Drosophila melanogaster: one gene and its partner. The protein of the gene in region 1 purifies or fractionates together with the protein of each later gene. This does not show direct contact. Each region holds a gene or a part of one and is shown on either strand. Other genes may lie near its edges.

What was found.
Region 2: the proteins of Prosbeta2R1 (region 1) and CG13319 purify together in Drosophila melanogaster (affinity purification with mass spectrometry, with the first as the bait; one large-scale study listed by BioGRID). This does not show direct contact.

Annotation. Positions count from the first base shown.
Region 1 is NC_004354.4:5,807,044-5,810,844, forward strand, and holds Prosbeta2R1 (proteasome beta2 subunit-related 1), read left to right. Parts: upstream 1-1,910; 5' UTR 1,911-1,962; coding exon 1,963-2,051; intron 2,052-2,108; coding exon 2,109-2,288; intron 2,289-2,359; coding exon 2,360-3,014; 3' UTR 3,015-3,115; downstream 3,116-3,801.
Region 2 is NT_033778.4:12,922,208-12,925,440, reverse strand, and holds CG13319 (uncharacterized protein), read right to left. Parts: upstream 1,538-3,233; 5' UTR 1,493-1,537; coding exon 1,094-1,492; 3' UTR 1,090-1,093; intron 1,020-1,089; 3' UTR 777-1,019; downstream 1-776. Other genes in the region: NAT1, read right to left, coding at 2,384-2,562, 2,631-3,233.

The DNA of each region.
Region 1 (3,801 bases):
GAAATTGGCATCGCTCCCTTTGTGTTTGTGTGTGTGAGTTCTCAGCTAACTGAAAGTCATTAGCATGCTAAATATTGGCAGCAGGCTAGGCGAAAATTTCCATTAAAAAACCGCACTTTGACTATAAAGAGTGAGAAATGGAAAAATGTATCCAGTTTGCTGGATAGTTCTTATTAAGTATCTAAGCAAAAGGTCAGCTTCTCAGAGCCATTCGATAACTTAAACACCAGTTACTTAATCAATAACCAGATGACATCGAGTGACTATCTTATTTATTTATGGCGTTATTTGCGGCAACCCAAATAAACATCCACCAAACGGGCCCCAAATGACTTTATAATCTTATTAAATTTTAATCTTCCAATCAGCTAAGGACGCAACCTTTTGTCAGTGGCGGCATTTCACCATAATTATCCTGGGCAAAGTTACGGCCACATAAAATGAAGGGAAACCCTAAAAAAAAAGAAAAGAAAAGAAAAAAAAAAGGGATTCCCATGGAGGGCAGAACAACCTGTTCGATTTCTTTTTTTTTTTTTTTTTGAGGGTAAGTGCGGGCGTCAAACTTTTCCAATTGCTGTTAACAAAACAGAAATCAAAATTGAATGCCAAGTCTTGATTAGTTTTCCATTTTTAGGCCTGCCATCGGATGTCGATTCTCGCCGAATTTTCGCCGTCAGGTGTTTGTGCTGCCGCCTAATTGAAAAGCCAACTGCTGTCCAAAAACGGAAAATCCCGGACGAAAATATTGCGAATGGCAGTGGTAAAAAAGAAAATTACTCTAGCTGCATTTGCATTTGTTGCAAAAGTTTTGCGGCCCTAAATTGCGGAGGAAAAGTTTTTCGAGGCTTGAAAAAGCGAAGGATGAAAGCTCTTCTAATTGTAGGCACTTTAAGAATCCCTGTTGATTCAGCATTTTTCTCAAAAACATTTCAATTAATACATATATCTCACTCTTCGTATTATCTGTATGTAAACTCTTTTTTTTTTTTTTAATTGAATAACATATACATGAACGTAATATGGCGAAGTCCTTTTGGTGGTTTGGTAACCCAACTGAAGTGAAGTGAAATCACAGCTTGAAGTGAACATTGCAATCGTCGCAGTTTGCTGGCCAAATGTTGATTAAAATATAATTGTATTCTAATTAATGCTAATTGATTTGTGCCACATGTGCTGGTGTCGGCCATCTGAAACTGACCAAGTTACAAGGACATATTCCCATTCCCATTCCCATTTCCATTTCCACTCGCTCGGCTTGAGTATCCGTGTCCTTGGATTATGGAGCACCCACACGAATGCAAATGCAAGTGCAAATACAAATACAAATACAAATACAAATACAAATACAAATACATATGCAGAGCTGTCAGTTCATATTTGTGCGCGTGAGTGTGTTTGTGTGTGTGTGTGTGCGTGTGAAAGGACACACATTCTCATGTCAGATGGACAAACTTTCGACCACACACGCACGCCCACGCACACACACACACTCAGGCAATCGCACTCACATGCAGATTCGTGGGCTAGGCAACCAATTAAGCTTTGTCAAATTGTTTGGCATTTGAAGTGCAGTTGGTAAATGGGTGGCATTGGGTGGAAATGGGTGGAAATGGCTGCCGCTGCATCGATAACTTTTCACCGGTCACTTTTTTATGATGGTCTTCCAAACGAGTGCACATTTCCGATTTCTTTACGCTCAAGCACATTTCCAATCGATTCCAAAGTATTTCGTTTTAAAATCCTTCTCTTCATTAAGCGAAAAAATCAATTGTCATCATGAATATGCAATTTTTAGACTATTTATGGGCTCTCAGTGTTTGCAGGCGAAAAACATAAAACTTGTGACTATAATTCGTAGAAGCAAATATTAAACTTTGTTTATTTTTTTAACCATTGATAAGTTATCTTTGATTTTACTGTCTAGCTAACGCACTACATTATATATTTACATACATCCGCACGATGCTCTTTCCTTTTTCCGCCCGAAAGGCGAATACATCCGCTGATTTTGTTGGCTTGCGGTCCGGATTCAACTTTATAAATTGCAGGCGGTAAGAGACATGTTGATCATTATGAATATATCCAAAACGAATAGATTTTCTCCACAGAAATGCCGAGCTTTTGTCCAAGGGATATGAGCCACCGAAGGCGATCAAAACAGGCACCTCCATTGTGGGCATCATCTACAAGGACGGCGTTATCCTGGGCGCCGACACTCGTGCCACCGAGGGACCCATTGTTTCCGACAAGAATTGCTCAAAAATTCACCACCTTCAGGATCACATATAGTGAGTACCCAGCATTCGCTTGATGCGCCTTTGAAAATGGACCCCTACATATCTGCATTACCCATTCGCAGCTGTTGTGGCGCGGGCACCGCTGCCGACACCGAAATGATTACCCTGACGACCAGCGCCGAGCTGGATTTGCACCGGCTGAACACCGAACGACGGGTGCCGGTAGTCTGTGCGAGCATGATGCTTCGCAGGACCCTCTTTCGCTACCAGGGTCACATTGGTGCCGCCTTAGTGATGGGCGGCGTGGACACGACTGGGCCGCAGCTGTACTGCATCTATCCGTGCGGTTCCAACGATAAGATACCCTACGCGGCCATGGGCTCCGGCACCTTGGCAGCCATGTCGGTGCTGGAGCACGGCTGGAAGCCCGATCTCGACCTGGAGCAGGGCAAGCAGCTGGTCCGCGAGGCCATCTCGGCGGGTGTGTTCAACGACCTGGGCTCCGGATCCAATATCGATTTATGCGTGATCACCGCAAAGGGAGCGGTTTACCTGAGAACCGATACGATTGCCAGCGAGAAAGGCGAGCGGTTGGGCAAATACGGCATTAAGCCCAACTCCACTATGGTCACCTCGATCTCCGTGCTGAGTCTGCAGGTCACCGATGAGCGAATCTATGCAGTGGATGATCAACAGCCGGGCACCAGTGGCGTTCAGTTGGATTCCCAGCAAGCGGATGAGGAACTGCCCGAAGGATCGCAGACTAAATCACCATAGACATCCATACCATATATTTCAGTTCGAGCAAATTAACCGTTAAATAGCCACATGGCTTTACATAAATGTTAATGCATTCACAGAATGCAAAGATTGCCTAGAAATTCTGGCATCATGTTGTTGCTTCTGCGACTCTGGGCTGCCAGGAACATCAGGCGTTTTTCCTAGGGGGCATAGAATGTGCGGGAAAGTTGTAAAGTTGGTCATGCCCACTAGAGAGCACTGGCCAAAAATTCAGAACAAACGAACGGAACTCCCGTGGTATGGCAGTCAAATAAATCAAGAGATGTGCCAGCTCTTTTCTCACAGTGTAGCTGGTTGCGAATCCGAACCCGTCGCGTGGCCTAGCATTCTGCTCGAAAATTGTTTGAATCTCTTCGCAATTCCCAATGGTTGGACTGCCATCAATCCGGCAAAGCATCTGGGGAGTCCTTTTGGCGGAGAATGCGGTGAATGGATTTGAAGGAGGCCAGGTGTTTGTCCGCCCGTAATCGGGATCCAACTTCACTAGCATCCCATCAGGCGATGAACTGCGAGGACGTGTAAATAAGGCCAGGAATTCGAAATGGGGATGCACAAGATACAGGATACAGGACTTGGGACTAGAGAACTGGAACTCCGGCGGAGACCAGCATCATTATAAGATTATATCGCAAGTCCACTCCTTGCCACACATCCTCATCCTTTGGTGGTGGGAAAGGTGACTCTGATTTTGTTTTGTCGACTGTTTGCCTCGGCCACCTTTGCCTTGTGCCCACTATGCACAGGTGCTCCAGTACGCCCATCT
Region 2 (3,233 bases), on another chromosome or scaffold:
TCGCGTTGGTCCTTCAACTATCTATACCTGAGTATCAAACTGTTCAAGTTGCAGACTTTCTGTGACATAGAACCATTCTGAAATAGTGAATAGTGACTTGGATATTTTGGATATCGCAATCATTATAATTGGGAACTCATGCAGGAAGTGACATCAACTTTTTGCTCGTGGGTAATTAGTAAAGTTGAGAGTTCCTATAGTCAGTCATCACCAATATCATTTTTTCAAAAGCTAAACGAACTGTAACAAGAGATATAATATTTTCAACCAGTATTATTCACACAAATTTAGAAGCTTGTTAATCACATTGTGAATTGTAAACCCGCTAGTTAATACATACATTTGATAGTGGTATCCTACTAACTTTTCGAATAGTTCAAATTAACAACATAAAAACAAATCTAATGATATTATTTGTCAGAGGTATTCAGTGATCAAACTGAAATGGTACCCATTTGGAAAACTTCCGAATGATTATTACATATTAACTTCTCCCTAAACCTAAACATTCATTCGAAAGGGAAACCGAAACGGAGGCCTGATGAACAAACCGGCGCAATGCGAACACACACATATGTATATTCGAATTTAATACGATGGCGGGGAAATCACCTATCAAGCGATCATCACTGCAGCCAAACTGACCTTCAAATCATTGGGTGGTGAAGCAGCAGCATGAATAGCATGCGGGTGGCACGCGATCACTCACACAGCGGGTGACTTCTTCTTACATTGAGCACTGCTATCGCGACACAATTGATAAAGCCCACATGCGTCTGTAAACTTACTTAGGGCAATAAATTTATTGTACAAAATTCGTATCACCGATACACGTTTAAAGTTCGTGCTCACTCGGCCGCCGCATGACGTCTGAGCGGAGATCGGGAATCGGAGATCCCAGATAGTTAGCTGATGGAGTGCGTAGAGTACGTGAAGCTGCGTCCGTGGGGTAGCCGCCGGTCCCCGAAATAGACGTTGACCCCCACGCGGCGCCGTGTCATCGGTAGCGCAGGCGGGCCCTGTGTGCACGTGAACCAGAAATAAGTCAGCGATTGAGGATTAAATTTATGCCACACTAAGTTGTTGTACCCACTCAAGCGAAGTGCTCCAGATGGTCTTGCATGTAGGTGACTAGCGTCTTCTCGAACAGAGGGCCCATTAATCGATCCAGTTTGAGATTAAGGCTCACGTAGAACTGGCGGCAGTAGCGTTTACTCAATTTGGCGGCCAGAACAGATGAGTCGGTCTGCCCGTGTCCGCCCAGGATTGTGGAGGATAGGGACTGGCTGCTGGCGGGATTGCGAGAGGGCATGGCCACCGCTAGCTCCTCGAAAACCTCCAATCCCTTGGGGTTTATGATCAGCATGGTGCTGCCTTGCATTTTCAGGGCGCGCACGGTGAATTGCGAGGGACCCGCCGCCAAGTGGACGCAATGTGAGGTGAAACCACCAGACTCCTTCGCAGGCACAACATTCGCAGGAACGCTATCCATTAGTCGTGAATTTTATACATAAACAAGCAATATTCACAAGGAAAACAATGAAATAGCAAGTTTGACCGGAGCGGTGTTGCCAGATAACGAAACGACCATAGATAGCTTTTCAAAATAATCGAAAATTGTATCGATAGGCAGCTATTACAGAGCTTAGGCGCGGATTTTAAATTTGCATTACTCCCTCAAAAGCCAATGAAAGTCAGTTTGATTTCGCCGTTCGCAGTGTTGGTTGCATTTATTAAGGCTCTATTTAATGTGGGCGAGTTTTTTAATGTTTACGTTGGTTGAGTTAAATACATATATACGATATTTTGTTCACAATTACATTCAGATTTTGTTTTGCTCTCTTCGGCGCGCGTCGATTGGTTTTTCCTTTTCTATAATGTTAATGTTGTCGCTTTGATTTGACCTACTTATTTAAATACACAAAAGGGAAATCGTCGAGAGTACCAAAAAAAGGCAATTGAAATCAACGTTATTCGATTTAAAGATCAGTTCCGGTTGTTATGTTAAAAAAAAAAGATGAAATTCACTAATTATTCGTTATGCTTGAAATGTCAATGAGAATTATGATGTATGGATAAATATCGGTTATATTTGACGTCTATTGCGCTTTATTTATTGATAATTGATTGTTAATGTTCTTTGAATTTGTTGGATATCAAATAATTTTGATTAATTTTTTTTGTTTTGTTTTTCTTTTTTACTATAATTTGACTAAGTTTTGCAACCGCGATTTCAAACTTCCACCCTGATGGTATTTTGTTTCTTATTTTTCGTGTTTTGTTAGTTTTGTTGTTTTTCATCATGTAATCATTATCGATTTGTGAATAAATATTGGAAGTGATAAACATATAGCGCTGTTATTATGCGGGACTGCGTTGCTTTCTAATCCTCATCGTCCTCAGATTCGGCCTCCTGCAGCCAAGTCAACCAGGCGTTCACTTGGAACAAAGCGGATCCTTTGCCTGGATATTTGTCGGAAATCTCCTCCTTCCACAGGACGAATGCCTCCTCCTCTATAATTTCAGATTCGTAAAGATACTTGAACCAACGGCACAGCATGCCTAACGAAGAAAAAAGCAAATATAAGTTGCCGATAAAACAGATTAGATTTAAAATGTTGAGCACTTACCCTTGGGGAAATTTTCATTGTAGCAGAACGTTTGCAGAGCATAGAGAGCCATCAACTGAAGCTCGTTCTGTCCCAGGAAGGTCTGCAGCATCTGGCTGTAGTTCTCCAGCAGCTGTTGCTCCTTCTGGGTCACCGATTTCTCAGGGTGCTCCTTGGGGTCGAGGTTGTCCGCCAGCGTCGTCTCCTTGGTCACATACTTGACCACCACGGTCATTAGGGCTTGGATAAAGCCCGGGTCCTTGTAGTATTTGTTGTCAACGTTGGCCTTGATCCACTTGTAGAAGTTGTTGGGGTTCGGGTCGCTTTGCAGCTGTTTTAGCATCTCGGCCTGTACCTTCAATAGCGGATAAAGGAAAGAAAGCTTGCGATCCTCGAGTATCCCGGCCAAGCGCTCCTTGTTCCGATCCGCCTCCGGCAGGCTGTTCATAAGATCAACTTTGCTCGCCCGGAATTTCTCTTCCAGCGCATCCTTGCCGATGACCTTGACCAGTTGCTGCAGCACGAGCAGGAACAGCGGATAGTGTTGGCCATTGTCCGTGAAGTTGGCGATATCGCTTAACTTCAGCAATGCTGGCTCGCAAATTGTCTTTGCCAGCAAGCTGG